Linked DNA regions of Schizosaccharomyces pombe. The gene in region 3 interacts genetically with the main gene of each other region. Each region holds a gene or a part of one and is shown on either strand. Other genes may lie near its edges.

Region 1 (7,715 bases), on a different chromosome or scaffold from region 3:
ATATTGCCGATAATAATGATCCTGGTTTAGGATACCACCTTACATTTGATCCAAATGTGTCAGTTACCGCTGATTTGGCTTTAACTAGTCGTCCCAAAGTAGCAATTCTTCGTGAACAAGGCGTAAATGGTTATTTGGAAATGGCATATGCTTTTTATGCATCCGGTTTTACTGCCGTGGATGTTCACATGACTGATATCCTCAGCGGTAGAGTTCATTTGGATGATTTTGTCGGTATTGCTGCTTGTGGTGGGTTTTCTTATGGTGATGTTTTAGGATCTGGCAATGGATGGGCTACTTCCATCCTTCTTCACGAAGATGCTCGTAATGAGTTTTACCGTTTCTTTAACGAGCGTAAAGACACATTTGGTTTGGGTATTTGTAATGGATGTCAACTGTTCAGTCGTCTGAAATCACTTATTCCAGGAGCTAAAAGCTGGCCTATGTTTACATTTAATGAGTCAGCGCAATACGAAGGTCGTGCAGTTATGTTAAAGATCGATGAAACAAGTGGTTCAAAATCCATTTTCACTGAAAGTATGGCTGGATCTAGTTTACCCGTGGTCGTTGCCCATGGAGAAGGTAGAGCTGTTTTCGATTCAGAGTCCGATTACGAACAATTTAAGAAGGAAGGTTTGGATTTGATATACTACGTTAACAACTACAACGAGCGTACTAGCCGTTATCCATTCAACCCTAATGGAAGCAGAGATGCTATAGCTGGTGTTCGCTCCCCTTGTGGTCGCTTTTTAGCTATGATGCCTCACCCTGAACGTGTAGTTTTGAAAGTTGCAAACAGTTATTACCCTCATTCGAAAGCTAGCGAGTGGGGCGTTCATGGTCCTTGGATCCGTCTTTTCCAATCTGCTAGAAAATGGGTTGGTTAAAGCATTTATCTTGCCCGGAGAAGCTGAATTGGAGTTCACATGCCGTAGTTTCTTTACAGTTTTGGTTTGTTTCGTGTTACAAAATTTTATAATTATTCTACTTAAATTAATGGTGAAAATTAGATTAAGCTTGGCAGATATAAAAATCGTTAATTATACATTATTACGATTAAATTGCTTTAACCATCGAGTATATGTGTAAAAATTATGACAACTCTTTTCCTTCAGCAGAAACATACAACAGTCTTGTTAAATGTTAACTCTAGCTACCTGTTTTGCTGTTCTATGTTCCATTGTCGATAATGAGTACAATTACTATTAGCCTTTTACGAGCAATTAAAGCTTCGAATGTATATTCGATTTAAAAATTATTAGCAGTAAGCATGGCTTTTCGTGAAAGCTGACAAAGACGACTAGAAAATAAATATGGAAATGAAATCAATACCTCAGTAGTGCCATTGCCAACAGATTTGACACGTTGATCGTATGTCACATCGTAAGTGGCAGCAACCGCACTGTTTATCCGTTCTTCATATTCCGAAGAATCAAATGCCGATTGATTTGATAAAGCGCATTTCTCTAAGTACTCTTGAGTGTATTTTTTCTTTAGAAGGTCGAACTGAAAGCTAACTTCCTCCCTAAGACCATATTCATTTACGGTTTTAGCTAAATCATCTTTAAAAAGGATAAAAGCTGTGTAAACTTCATATTCTGTGGAAATATCAAAACGAGCCATAATTGATCTCAGGTCATTATCATAGTGTTTCTTCACTTCTTCAGCTACATTCAGATATTCAGTTTTAAACCTTGGAAGTTTCATACAAGGATCATAAACAGTATTCATTATCGGATTATAAGTTGCAGGTCTGCCACTTTCTCTTTGGAATCGTGCAGCGTATCTGAAAATTTTGCCAACCGCGGTTTCGGAACGAAAAGAACGAGTTTTTGTTTTTTGCATGAAGTCAGGATATCGTTTGGGATGGTATTTGGCTTGCATTTTACAAGCTACTCCCGATTTAGCAAAATCTACAGCTTTTGAATGCATTTCTGCAAGTTCTAAACACACATTTCCAAATATCCCTTCCGGATTATTATCATGGTCATGGGCCCATGCCTTCCAAGCATTTGAAATTAGACCTAGCGAATCATATTTTATATAATTCACAAAAAATTCTTTTACCGAATCGATAAGTGGCTTTCCTTCCAAAAAATCTATAGACTTCTTGGGAGATGATTCAAGCAATGGGGGATAATTAACAATTTTAGGAAGAAGACGTTGATCCCATATAACTGTGTACTCATCCCCATCCAGATCACCACCAGAGCACATAGCAGGAATGCTTCGATCACCCGTTGTCGGAAACACTATCACATTTTTTAAATGCATAAGCTCATCGCATCTGACAGCTTTACAGACACGTACGTCACCTGGATGAAGCGAGGGATTCCTTGCAACAATACACAATCCAACTATAACCCTTGTTTTCAGCTTTCCAGTTGAATATGAACCAAAACTGGTAGAAGTGTCGGTAATTTGGATGAAAATTTCAGGTACTGACAAAACAGCATCATCATAATGACCCTTTAGTGTTCCAGTTTCATCAGCTACACCAAGTAAATAGGCACCCTTTGGAACACTAACTTTTTGTTTTTCCTTAATTAACCTAAGAACCCATTCATAATATAGATTTAATAAATTCTCGGTGAAAGCATCATCTCTTTCAAGGAAACCGGCCTGGATAAAATCAGCAATAATTAAAGTAGAGTGATATTCATCTACGTTGTCCCGTAACATTAAAATGGATTTTTGTTTGCTGTTTATCGATTCGTTCATTTTTGACAACTGACTTCTAGTCAATTCCAAAAATACGGTTTTTTCAACCCCGAGTCCTTCCAATAAGGTGATCAGTTGCATATTCAGATGGGCATTTGAAAATCGAGATATTTTAATAACTTCCAAGGTACTATGGAATGATTTAAATTTATCTTGACTACGGCGTGGAAACACAAGATTTCCTTGATGGTATTCAAGCTTAGTCGGAGGAGCTAAAGATAAAACGCCTTTATAACCACCCATACGAAATTGAAACGCAGAGGGAAACATATCATGATTTTTTACTTCCAAAGAAAGTCTTCGAATTACAGATAATGATGCCATTCCAACCCCATCAGTAAAGCAGTGGTTGTTACGAACAATATCATCCTGAAGGGATATGTCAACACAAAATCGATTAATTTCCTTTGTCGTTGAAAAGCATTGTCCCATCCTTGCTGCATACTTAGATACTGAATTGATTTCACTAAAGTCACCCATCCATTCCCTGATCTGTTTGGCATTTAGATCAGATCCCGAAGCAAAAAAGTAAGCACCATGCTCTCTTAATTGAGAATTTCCAAAAGCTAAAAATTCGTAAATTTGATTACCAACTTTAATTCCGTAGGTTAATAATTGTTGGATGCGAGAATACAATTTTTCATTTCTAAACCCATCAGAACCGCCTCGAATTTTTTGCTTATAGTATTCATCAGTTATTTGCACACGCATAAAACGGTTTGCAAAGTCCTTAAAATTTCTTATAACACGATTTCCTGCTTCTAATGAGTCTTCAACTATTCGAAGAGTAGTAGGTGTAACGTACAATTTTTTAATGTGAATAGAAGAAGCGGAAGATAAATCGTAAAAGACAAAAGACTTAGTAAAATCTAGCTCAGAAGGATTTATTAAAGCGGTTTTGGACGTTAGAATTAGTCTTAGGAATTTTTTTGCTCTCTCTTTCGATAATTTCTTTAAATTCGCCAATATAATGGGCAAATCAATTTCTGATAATAAGTTTTTAGAAAGGCAAGCCTGCAAAAGATAAGCAATCTCTTCCTCAATTTCTTTATCATTTATTAGACTACAGCGATGTTTGTAGTCTGGGACAAGATGGAAAACCACTTTATCAAGTTGACTTTTCAAATTGAATTTTTCCAAGTTGTGTAAAAGAAAGGCAATGTCATCTTTATCAGACTCATCCCTTATGGAAAAGCTAAGGACTAAAACATTGCAGCGTCCAATGGGGGCGTTATGGCAATTAAGTAGCTCTATAGGACTAGCAGTCGTTGGTGAAACATTGAAAGGTAGAATATCATAATGTCGTCTCCAAAGATGAGATGCAGTCCAGAAAGTTTGAACTCTGGATTCAGTTGCATTTTTAGATTTTCTGAAAATTAGTGGAGAAAATCTAAATCTAAATACGAGGGAAATATGATCATCGTAATAATCCGTCCCTACATCGCCTATTATGGAATGAAAATCGAAGTCCAGACGAAAGGTTTCGATCTGTTTGTCAAAAGAAGCATCAAAGAGAACACAGAGCTTTTTGAAATTAAAATATACAAGTAAGTTTGATTCAGTTACAGTTATTCCACAATCAACACCAAACAGTGGGACAATTCTTTCATCATAAACTTGCCCGAGCTTAAAGGAGGATAACGGGATTTTTACTAGCTGATCGCTTCTAAAACTATTCTTAGAGAAAACTTGTCGGCTGATGTGGGAACGATGTGCTGTTATGTCAATTTGAACAGCTAGATCAACACCTTTGACATTTATTTTCCCATTTGGTTCCCAGAATGGAACTTTGGGAGGAGGAGCAAATTGGACTATTGCAGTAGTACTTGTCTGTCCATTCAAAGGTTCATTAATCTTCATGAATTCTATTGTACCGTAATCATGAAGGGGTTCCCACAAGTTGTATAGTTTTCCTCCCTCATTTGAAAGCCAAGTAACTGGAATATCTTTTATGACAAGTGTAATCATATCCCCCAATCTCCAAGTACTACTTCTTTGGATTAGACAATTATCATTTCGTTTATTAGCCGAGTGCAACTGAGCTTCATTATTGTGAACGGAAGCCCATTTCTTTTGCTTTTTGTTTCTATATGGGACTCTAAGTCTTTCCCAGGGTGACTCACGAGAATAACGTTTTAATTTAACACTTATAAAGTCATTTAACGAAACTGCCATTGCTTTACATTGCCATACAAAATCTGGATTTAATTATAACCCTGACAACAAATCAATTTGGAACCTTTTGTAAAAATAAAACACTAAATCTCATAGCGCCTTTATGCAGTATCAGCAGCCTCGCTCTGCGAAGTGGTCTTTTATCATAGAAGATTCCTTTCAGCTGGCTATAAATTCGTTAGATACGAAAAACCTTCGATTTATATAAAAAAGATTATAATGTTCCTATTTATCCACTTATACATACATGTATATGTGTGCCTTTTTAATTTAATTGACCGTTATAGTATCAATATCTATGAATTGCTCTTGAAGGAAGTTTGTAGCACGGTGGAATAAAGTTAAGTGAAGGCTCCTTTACGTATAGGGAAGTAGAATCAAAATACTAAGAATACATATTCATCCTATATGAACCGGCAAGTTGAATTTCAGTTTTCAATCCAAAGCAGATATTGAGGTAGTTTTTTCACCAAGGAATAAAAAATTGTTAGGAAACTTCCATCAGTTAAACGACTGATATCATGCACCTTAATTCATGTTCAATATCGTGTTATAATATCTAGCTGATATTTACTATAAATTTATTTTTTAAGCATGGTATATAATTTGAGCTACGTAGCTTTACTCGTTTCAAAATTAAGTGCAGCCCTGATATTCCAAACCCCTCGTCAGCGCTTGATTTTACAAACACGTCCAACTACTTCGGCAAAGCAAACAACTTAATAGATTTTTAAAAATAGAGCAATTGCTCAAGGATAAATTAATTTATTATTCCTATTTGTAAATACCACAAATAGGTTCTTCATTCCCTTATTTTAATTGGTAAATTGTTAAACTTATTTCAAATGTGAAGCATTCAATTTAACATCCTTTAGATACATAATATTTATTCTTCTATCAGAAACTTGAAAAAAAAATGCCTGACAATCCATCTTCTTTTGAAGATGAATTCATGTACGCAGCTAGAGAATATCGGGTGTTTGAGCTAATTTTTTGTTAGGAAATCTAATCATTTAAGTGTTGCTTCGGAGTCCATACCAAATGAAAGCCAAAGACAGGTATGTACTGAAGTTAAATAAAAACAACCTATTACTAAAACTGCTTTTTAAAAGTCACCGACGCGATTACGAGTCGGTACCTCTAAAACAGATGATATTTATCGACAAAAACGGCAAACAAAACATATCATTTCACAAAATGAAGTTTTTTTACAGCCTAAATTTTTCGATAATCAAAATTTTGATGCTCAAAGCTGTATGTGTAATTATGTCTATTGGAAACTAATTTTGCAAAAAAGATTTAAACGATGTTTTACAGGACCTTAGTGAAGATGAATTTGTGTCTTTATACAATAAGCTTCTACGCATTCACATGGGCGTCCGTAAAAATTTGGAAAAGAATTTTTACAAAAATTTGAATGAATATGTATTTATATCAGGGGAGGTTGAGAGCATGACTTCAGATTTTAAAAAGTTTCAGTCTCTGTTGAAAACCCTGGAGACTGACATTGAAGGATTAAACTTGGTCGACCATACGCATGACCCTTCCGACGAATCAATAAAACAAACGGTACAGAGACTACGATCATCCATTGAAGGGCTAGATGAAGCATTCTGGGAAGCGCCTCAAAGACAGCTTATATGTGAGCAATACAATTGGATGTTAATCAATATTGACAATCAGAGACCTAAGCTTCTTGTCAATATGCTTCTGTTTAATGATAGACTGTTGGTTACTACTTCTCACATGAAAGAAGTTGATTTCCCTGCTAAGCAGCAGGTTTTGTATAATTGGAATTTAACCGAAATTTCTATTTCTTCAATTGAAACTTATGGACCAGCAGGTGCTGAAATGCTGCAGAAGGAGAAAGAGGTCTCTCTATACAAACTGTCAATTAACCATAACAATAAGACCACATTGTTGGCAGTACACAATAGTGAAGAAAGGGATTATATGGTTCGTCAGGCTCGCCATCACCAGCTTCAAGAACTAGAAAATTGGTCTAGAAAGCATGATGAAGATCTCGAATTTAGTCGTGAACTAGAATATCATACTAAATCGGAACAAGCCGATATGTGTTCGTATACATCCTTTCAAGTCCTTTGTAAAAATCTGGATACTCAGGACATCCTTCAGGCTTATGCCAAACAGAGAAACATGGTAAAGGAAATATCTATGCAATTTGATCATCTCGACATACAAATTAGCTTACAAGAGTTTACGGATGCTATTAGAAATTTGGCTTTGATACAAAATAAGCTAGAGCGTGGTAATCTAAACGAGTTGTTTGCCGAATTTTTTGCAGATAAACTTCACAATAGAAAGCGAAAGGTGACGGAAATTTTACTTCATCAACTTGGATTTAAAGGAATCAGTCTTTCCCACGGGAAAGAAATAGTTCGTTATTTACGCTCTTTAGGCCATGAAAAGGAGGGACAAGGTGTATTTATGAAGTCTAGGACCTTATTGATTAAAGAAAAGTGTCTGAATGTTCAATTGGAAAAAGACACTCCTAATTTCATCGATGCTTGCGCGTTCATAGTGTTTCGTTGTTTAGCGCAAACTACTAGTTCTTATTTGCAATTATTTGAGTTGAAAAAATTGGATCCCGCTTACAGGAACTGGATTTTTCAGCAAATTGAGGCTCTTGTTGATTTAATAGAAAATCAATATAAACATTTAGCCCACGACAGATCATATACGGACGCCGTTTCAAAAATAATGACTTATAACACGGAATTAAAGGAAGCTAAAATTGATGCCATGCCGATATTACAGCGTCTTTTTGATGTTCATTCTAAAGATTTAAAATAAATTTT
Region 2 (4,754 bases), on a different chromosome or scaffold from region 3:
AAGCAATTTTTGAAGTACCAACCCTTACTTGAATGGCTAGCAAAACACGAAGCTTACATTTCACCCAAACTGTATATCGCTTCAAGTGGGGTCGCAGGAGATGGTATATTTTCTACCTTTGATATAGATGAACTTGAAGTTTTAGCAAAGATTCCTAGAAGGATCATTCTGAGTCCTCGCAACTCAAGATTTGGAGATTCGTTGTATACACATTTTAATGAATCTAATCGGTCTGATGATATTAACTTTGACAATAGAGATCAGGTTGGGCTGGTCATGCTCGTTATAACTGTAATATTGGAAAATATAACAGATAGTCCGTGGAACGCTTATTTAAACACCTTGGACGAAACTTGTATGCCTGATTCCCCATTATTATGGAAAGATAAAACGTGTCTTGAGGGAACCTCAATGCTTGATGTAATAAATACAAATTTAAGAGTATACAAAAATCAATATGATCAATTGGTCCGCCCTTACTTTTATAAACATGCTGATCTCAAACAGCTTTGTCCAAAATGGAATCAGTATTTAGAGACTTGTGTTCTCGTCCAAAGCAGGTGTTTTTACGTTAACAGCTACTACGGTTTATCTTTAATACCCTTTTTCGATATTTTTAATCACAAGTCTGGTCCAGCTATTGCTTCGCTACATTGTCAGGAGTCAAATGATCATAAAGGCGATATCAAAATAGAATTTATTTCTTTTCAGTATATACGAAAGATGTCCGAAATATTCAACTCCTTCGGAAACTTTGCCGCTGATGAATTGTTCACGCAGTATGGATTTATTGATACCGCTTGCAAAGTTTGGCGCGTCGACATGACAATGATTGCTTATGAAACTAACAGAAATTTTTATATGGAGTGGATTCATAAAAAAAGAATAATCAACACCCAGGAGTTGCTGGTCACCCCAACTACATACGCAAATGACAAGTCTGAGACTTTACGTTCAGTAATGATAAGACAACCTATGGATCTTTATATAATAACAGATCATGGTCCCAGTTACGGGCTTTACTTATATTTATTTTTTTGCATTTACAAAATCAAATTCCAAAAGTGCGATATGAATATAGTAATGCTTACAAAGTATTTTAATGAAATCTGGGCTGTGTTTATAGCACATAAGGAGGGAGAAAAAGAAAAGGTTGTTGCTCAACTCTCTGGTTTTTCTTTTTATTGTAAGGCTATAGAATTTCTACAGATGCTGTGTCAAAAGCGCATTAGTCGTTTCAAAAATGGTGGGTTGACTGCTGAAGCTTATAAGACTCTATTGTGCGATCCGACTCTTAAACGAGAGAATAGGTCTCGTTTAGTCTTACAAATTTTTTATCATGAACTTAATTTACTCGAAAAATCAATGCAAGAAACAATTTATCTTTGTACTGAAAATTTTGAAGATTAAAAAAACAACATACAACGGTTGGAAATGTTGCATAAAAGGAAAAGGTAAGATCGAAGTTCAGCTTAAATTTTAATCATAATTTTGTGCCCTTCTTAATTAACATTGTAGTAACTTTATGATGTTTTCCAAAACCCTGCATCGTTCCCTTTCTAGATGTCCTGTGTAATAAATAACCTATTTGCCATTTCAAACTTTCGGTATAAACAGCATCAGAAATATGAAAGCGTCAAATTAAGCAAATGAATTAGTAGGCATAGAAATAAGAAATCCGATGACAATTTAGATGAAAACCAGTGTAGAGCACATAAAGTGTACAATTTGTGAAGGAATAACATAATATTAATCGTGCATGGTAAACTATGCTTTCCATGGCATTCTTTCTTATGAGAAAAGGAAGTAGAAAACGCATTTATAAAATGACTTTACTGAAAATACATATGGCATCTTTTTCCCTTTAGTTAATTAAACTAAATGATAAAATATTAAAATTAGTCACCGTCTTTGATGATTTGGAGATCAAAATATCCCGGAAATAGTTTTTTGAACCGCAAAATTCCAAACTGTTAAGCTAACCGATCCTACATGCCATGTTAGTATTTCAGCTGCCATTGTGATAAATGAAAATAAAAATAAAAAAAAGATTTTCAGAATTTTCATTAAAAACAACATACCGTAGATTGATCGTGGAAGAGATAGCACCCATAGAGCCCAAGAAGGAAGCAAGAATGCAGGGAGGAAAAAGACAGGTGTTTTGGACTCTTTGAATTGAATATAAAACCGGAATCCACGGGTTAAAATCCAAAGAAAAAGGCTTAAAACCCGCTTGAAAGTATCTTGGAAAATTTTAACATTGGCTGATTGTTTTTCCCACTCTTGACTGAGTTGTTCATACTTTCTATTCAGACGGGCCCATTTAGCAAACTGATCTTGACTGCTAGTAGCGTTTAGCTCTTTCTTAACAGTAAGCAGCTGCTCTAAAATTTCTTTGTTCTTCTTTAAATCTTTATTATTAGAAACACTAACGTAAATTCGATAAGCCTTTCACATTATTAGTTTTCTTTACAACAAGTATATATGTTAAATTACCCCATCAATAGTCCTTTTTTTTGCAAATTTATCGAAGAAATGAATAAATAAGCTTAATAAAATTGTTGAAATAATCAGATCCATCATAAAATATGGACTTGTAAGAAAGTACAGTGGTTAGTGTCAAACGTGTAACTGTTGAGTATCACGCTCCCTATGACATGCTGGTCTAAAGGTCGAAACTAAACACAAGTTTGTTTGTTACGATATTAGCTATTTTGTGTTAGAAAATAATAATCTATTAACCTTTTAAAGTTCAGAAGAATTGATGTTAAGTATATTTATCTAGCTTCTGTAATATTAAATAGAAAAAATAGATAAAATAGCTATATGATATTCAATTGACAAATACTTTGATCATGAGATCCATGAAAGTAACTATTTTCATTCATAACGCTTTATTTAAATTCAGTAAATTGACAAATTAGGCAGAAGGTTGTTGAGGAGATGGGGGGATTGGTGGATTTCGAGGATCGTGATCATTTTTATACTCAGACTGACGCATAAGTTCAGAAATATTTAAATGTTTGTATGCATATGGCCTTGGTCCAAGAATCGTCTCAACTTCGTTATAAGTGATGACTTCTTTCTGTAATAGACGTTGAGCAATATTTTCTAAGCCTTGCTTATGTTCTAGCAAAAGTTTCTTAGTTCTTTCGTATGCATGCTTTACAAGCTTTCGAATTTCTTCATCAATCATTTGAGCTGTAGCCTCAGAAAATGGTTTTTGAACAGTTTCCCGAGTGTCGATGGGATAAGCTATAGTACCAACAGTCGGAGACATACCATATTGGGTCACATACGCTTGAGCCATGCGCGTTACTTTTTGAAAATCATCGGAAGCTCCCGAAGTAATCTTTTCTGGTCCAAAAAATATTTCTTCAGAAACACGCCCAGCCAAAGCCATTCCCATTTGATCTAAAATCTGCCCTCGACTCATCAGATACTGATCTTTGGGTAAATAACTAGCATAGCCAAGGGCTTGAGCTCTAGGAATGATTGAGACCTTCAATAGTGGATCGACGTACTCCATAAACCAACCAGCTACCGCATGTCCAGCTTCATGATGAGCAACGGTGTTTTTTTCTTCAGGACTTAGTACCCTACTCTTCTTTTCCAAACCTGCCGTGACTCTTTCAATAGCTTGCTCAAAATGTACCATTTGGACTTCATTACTATTTGATCGTGCTGCAATTAACGCTCCTTCATTACATACATTCATTATATCAGCTCCTGTAAAACCAGAAGTTAGGACGGCAAGACGCTTGGCAATTAAGTCGATGTTATCGGCTGCCTTAATATGCTTAAGGTGGACCTTAAATATTTGTTCACGACCGCCAATATCAGGACGATCAATCGTAATTTGACGATCGAATCGACCAGGACGTAGAAGTGCCGGGTCCAATACGTCTGGTCGATTAGTACCAGCGAATACGACGATATGTTCGCTAGACGTAAAACCGTCCATTTCAACTAATAGCTGATTAAGAGTGCTTTCGCGTTCATCATTGGAACCAAATTGTCCTCCACGTCCTCTTGCTTTACCAATTGCATCAATTTCATCTATGAAAATAATACAAGGAGCGTTCTTGCGAGCAGTAGCAAAAAGATCTCTTACGCGGGAAGGTCCAACACCAACAAACATTTCAAGAAACTCAGAACCTGACACACTTAAAAAAGGGACGTTAGCTTCACCAGCGGTGGCTTTAGCAAGAAGAGTTTTACCGGTACCAGGAGGACCAGAAAGAATGGCACCACGAGGAATTTTAGCCCCCAACCTTTCATAAAACTTGGGATTTTTTAAAAATTTGACGAATTCCATAATCTCTTCTTTAGCCTCGTCAACGCCAGCGACATCAGCAAATTTTATTTTGATATCAGTTTCATGATTAAACATCTTCGCTCGGCTCTTACCAATTCCAAAAATGCCACCTTGACCACCTCCTGCGGCACCCGAAGCCCGTCGCGATAAATAAATGACACTTCCAATGATCAGTAAGGTGGGAGCAAAAGACAATAAAGTAGCAAGAACAGAGACTTCGTCATGATAAGCGACAGGGACAAATTCAGAAGGTGGAATACCCAGTTGACGTTGTGCATCCTCTAGTTTTCGATCGAAAGAGTCGATGGAACCAATTGAAAAATAGTACTGCCCTGAACCTGAAGCTACACCGCCTCTCAAAATAACTCTAACCATATTGCGGTTAACAACAACTAGCCGTTCAACTAAACCCTTGTCTAAAAACTGTTGTCGAAAA
Region 3 (4,681 bases):
TTATAACCAAAAAATGATGGATAACGCATCTTTATACTGCGGTATTAACTACATAAGGACTTAGTAGGAACGTAATTTTTTCGCAGCTTGACGTATCCTTAAAAGCATTTTGCAAACTGCGTAATTGCCAATCTTTCATGTAAAGCTACAAGCGATATGGATATGGGAAAAAGCATTACTTTTTGCTTGGGCTGAATGTTGGCTAGTTTGGAGGGTGAAATAGTTTATTCAATACAATTGAGTACTTTATTTTTTTCCATTTGATTTTTTTGAACAGAAATGGGCTAATTACTAGGATATTGGGAAATCGCATTGTTTAAAAGAGGTTCTCGTTTTACATCAAGGTCGATTTTTCATATTTATTTGTTTTAGAAAAAAGTATCATCTTATATTTCCTGTATTACTGGTTTTCTAATTCTAAAACTTGAAAATGGTGGATGAAACGTTACATACTAGATTGTTTACAGTATACCGAAAGGATTAGAGACTCGTGAACATTCGTAAAAGCGACATGCTTATACTTCCAAGAGAACGAAAAGCGAATTTCATTTCTTATTTACAATAGAATAGTTATTCTCATCATTCAGTCACGATCACTTTTTTCTTTACCAAAAATTGTATACCTAAATAGCACAGTATAATCCACCGCAAATTAACGTATCGTTAATATGTTTATGATCAAATACTATGTATTTGCATACCAACGCTGCGATACATTAAATAAAAACAAGCAGAAATATGAGAATTCAATAATAAAGGAAACATTTAATAATTCCAAAAGCGAATTGCTAATTTTTTAATTACTTTATTTTACAATATCCTATAGCACATCAATGAAATCAAGGTTTTCAGTCAAGGTTGGAGTGATGTTGAGAGTAGTAAGTGTAAATACTAAAACCCATTGCGAATACTTAGTGGATAATATCTGTTTCTTTTTTACCAAAGTCTCTCTCTTTGTATAGCTTATCAAGTTATATGTTTGGCGCAATTCATTTGTTTAAAATACAAACATAAAAACAATATAGTTGTAATGAAATTGTTATTAAATTAGTCGATGAGGGAAGTATGAGTATGCAAAACAAAAATAAAGAACCAAGAGAAAAAAAATCGAAAACTTTTTAAAAGGCATTATGAGGGCCGGTAAAATAATGCAGCGTTAGGATCAGTTGCATGCTTTTCCAATGAATAATCTTTTCGAGAATCAAAGACTTCCCAATGCACACATGGAAACACATGGCGATTTTGTAAATAATATGATTTTTGAACTAGATGAGGAATGCATTGAGAAGGAAGTTGTGTAGTTGCAACCATTTCTGGACTAGAGCATGACAGCTTATCAAAGTCAAATAAAAGTCCATCACGTCCTTGAACTTTATTAATGTAAAAGTAGTAAAGCTCATGGTGATGGGGAATGATTAAATCAGATTGAACCAGTAAAAATTTATCCATATCCAGAATCCTCTTCAAAAATGGGATTTGCTGTTTCATATCAGCAAGAAAGTGTCCAACCGAATCTTTCAATCTAGTCCTTACATGATAAGTGGTACTTGTTCCATCGTAATAGATAAATGGTATCAAAATCTCTTTTTCCCGAATTTGCTCCTGCTCTTTTAGCCATTGTTTGCGATATTCGGCTCGCTTCGCGTTTTCACGTATTTCTCGCTCTGCATCTGGCAAAAAGGAGGTATCCGCAGATGGATCCTTTCCCATAAACATTTTTTTCTCAACTTTTTTTAAAGGTAGATCATCATTCTCCAGTTCTTCATCTTCACCAAAAGAAAGTTTTCCTTTGTTAACTTTAATGCCCTGTTTGACCTTTTTGCTTAAAGCATCTTTTCTCTTTTTTCTAAAATTGAATTGTCAGTCATATTTAGAATACTATCGGGCTTTTCTCGTTCTTTTCACTTACATTTTAGTACTTGTGGTTGATAGCGCATGTTTCTCTCGTTTTTCAACGATGTTTTGTTTTACTCTTTGATAATCCTTTAAATGGACTAAACCAGTCGTACTATTTCGTAAAATCTCATGAATTTCATCGGCATCAGTATGGCCGCTCATTGTATGAAGAATTCAAAAAAACGTGAGTGGTGAGCGTTCTTCCAAATAAGCTTGAATACCCAAAATACCCTTTTTTTGCCTCGGTTTTCAAATCTCAAAATGAAAGAAATGACTATTACTATATTTATCGTAGAAGAAGAACATGTTTTTTACATTTACCTATGAGGGATCCTAGAATAAACGCACACTTTGCCAAAGTCACGTTGCATATAAGTTTTTTATATTTGTCAAAACGGTTATTAAATAGAATAACAACGAGGTGGGGCACTTTGAAGCATTCTGTAATCTTTAACTGCTTGTATAGACACTTTTTAAAACCAATCTAGAGACAAATAAAACGAATTACTCGTTTGTATTAACAAGCTTTGGAAAAATAGCAATAGATTAAAAACAAAAAAAAAACTAGCTAATCACTAGTGTTGCTATAAATACTCTAATAAATTTTCGTATCTGGTCATTGAATGCAAAACCATCTTTCGAATGCCAATATATAAAGTCATTAAAGTGATCCTAAAAAATCATCATTATCCAATGTTCATCAAATTCATTTTAATTTGTCCACTTCGCATCGCTAATAAATATGAAGCTCGCTGGTATACTGTCAGATAAAATAAAAAGAAAATTTTCAAGAGCTGTCCCCTTTGAATATACGTGGCATATGCTTTCCACGAAATTGCTCAATTGAATTGGCAATACCAAAGTTTCGGCCAGTTTCCACTACTAAAAAGCAAGCAAGATCCTCACTACTCCAGTAACTGCTATGAGCCGAAAGCATAGAAAGATATTTGTTTGAAATGACCCCATGGGCACTCGTAAATACGTAGTCCAACTGAGAGTTTTCATTCAACTCTTGCATGCGCCACTTGGCCCTTTCTTCTCTGCGAAAATTGCGAGTCTCTAACTCGACAGTCTGTTCAGGCTCCAGTGGGACCACTGCTGTGGGCTCATTGTTTTTATTTTGCTGCAAAGATTGATTGTAACTTCGAAGTTCCACAGGATCAGTATTAGAATGTGAGATCATTCTCAAAATACTTGAAGATTTTCTTGTGAACAGTATACGAGTTGGGTGGATGCCTTTCGAAAATGAGAGATCCACTGTGGGATTTAATCGCATCGCAACGGCTAATTTGTTAGTAAATACGATAATTTAATGATGCGCTTACGATCAAGGTGATTATAGATGTTATAAAAAGAGTCGACTGCGAGACATCCGTACCGATCATAACCATCGTAAGTATATGACTTTGGAACATCAGAATTTATAAAGTTTTTATTTATTTCGTATCTTGATGAGCCTCTTCCACGACGAGGAATAATACTTTGTTGATTCAAATGCAAAAAAAAACCTACCGGACCACCAAAACAAAAAAAACCGTTTGTGTCGAATATAAAGCAGCTTTCATCATCGTCTATAGTAATTTCTTTGACAAAAGTGGGTTGAAGTGACAAAATATCAAAAACAACTGTGGAGCCCAAAGAATGCCCAATTATAAAGATACGGCCCTTGTTTTCTAAAAAGTAAGGATTGCAGTCCTTCCACAAATGGTAAACCCTATTAGCTTCACGAATTACAGACTTTATAATGGATTCTTTGTGATGAGACATATAATAGGGAATATCACTCATCACATCTCCTAATAACCTTCGCACCGCTGGAATGCTATCAATTTCAATATCCTCAATTGAAAATCGATTTTCTTCAAATTCTTCATCCTCAACCCGTCCTTCATCACCGGCAACTGGCTTTATATATGAATTAAAATTAAGCTTATTTCTCCAACATATCGGAAGAAGTTGTGGTTCATAATCGTTTCGAATCAACGGATCCTCTTTCATTATGTTTTTCTGAATTTGGATCAATGAACGAAAAACGTTGCACGTCTTGGTAAATAAGAATCGTTCCTCTATATTGTCAACATTAGTAATTGAATGCCGGTGTAAGATAAAAAAAAATCAAGTTTACTTACCAGTCTCTGATCTTTTTTGACCGATACCATGAACCACCAAAAAAAGATCTGTAACTTGTTTAGGTCCATTAAAACCATCATCTTCAAAGTAAGGAAAATCTCGAACGACCGGCATACCTTTAATACTGGTCCTTCGAGATTGAGTCCCTTTTGAAAAATAGGATAACAAACCTCCTTGACAAATGAGTGCTCTATATCCGTCTTCGTAAAATACATATTTGCCAGAGGAGGTAGGTTTAAGAGGCCATTGCATCGCATCAATTAATTCCTTAGAGGACTTGTTACGTTTATGAGACAATACAGAAGGATCATCTTGAGAATCCTTCCCTTCTTCTTCTTCTTTTAAAACATTATCCCAGTTAACGGCGTATGGCTTCACTTCCTGGTAGCCCTCTTCTAACATATCCGACAATTCATTGATTACAGGAAGACCCGTATCTTCGTACATCCAAAGACCGCGAACGACTCGTAAGGTATCATTTTTACTGGCACTTGGCCAGTATAGAGGCTTTAAAGTAAGAGTAGGTAAGTTTACCACATGAAGCCCAGAAATTCCAACAATGACCTGCTCGTTAGTTAAGCTCACATATAGATTAAAAAATTAGTTACATTCTTCTGATTTGGCTCTTGAGACACCTCCTCTGTAATAATTTCAT

The links.
Region 1: mutations in xap5 (region 3) and rdp1 together harm fitness less than expected from each alone (positive genetic interaction), as found in Schizosaccharomyces pombe (2 studies listed by BioGRID).
Region 2: mutations in xap5 (region 3) and get1 together harm fitness more than expected from each alone (negative genetic interaction), as found in Schizosaccharomyces pombe (3 studies listed by BioGRID).

The regions. Positions count from the first base shown.
Region 1 is NC_003424.3:1,322,434-1,330,148, reverse strand, and holds rdp1 (RNA-directed RNA polymerase (RDRC) Rdp1), read right to left. Parts: upstream 5,209-7,715; 5' UTR 5,144-5,208; exon of another isoform or gene 5,064-5,143; 5' UTR 4,897-5,063; coding exon 1,249-4,896; 3' UTR 1,088-1,248; downstream 1-1,087. Other genes in the region: phosphoribosylformylglycinamidine synthase Ade3, read left to right, coding at 1-887; exo8 (exocyst complex subunit Exo84), read left to right, coding at 5,813-5,850, 5,897-5,954, 6,009-6,150, 6,194-7,710.
Region 2 is NC_003423.3:4,316,776-4,321,529, reverse strand, and holds get1 (GET complex subunit Get1), read right to left. Parts: upstream 2,622-4,754; 5' UTR 2,584-2,621; coding exon 2,497-2,583; intron 2,449-2,496; coding exon 2,082-2,448; exon of another isoform or gene 1,989-2,081; coding exon 1,927-1,988; 3' UTR 1,411-1,926; downstream 1-1,410. Other genes in the region: SPOM_SPBC16C6.01C (lysine methyltransferase), read left to right, coding at 1-1,410; m-AAA protease Yta12, read right to left, coding at 2,921-4,754.
Region 3 is NC_003421.2:752,634-757,314, reverse strand, and holds xap5 (splicing factor, xap-5-like protein), read right to left. Parts: upstream 2,064-4,681; 5' UTR 2,059-2,063; coding exon 1,910-2,058; exon of another isoform or gene 1,847-1,909; coding exon 1,129-1,846; 3' UTR 1,025-1,128; downstream 1-1,024. Other genes in the region: SPOM_SPCC1020.13C (DDHD family phospholipase), read right to left, coding at 2,684-3,180, 3,222-3,962, 4,026-4,590, 4,635-4,681.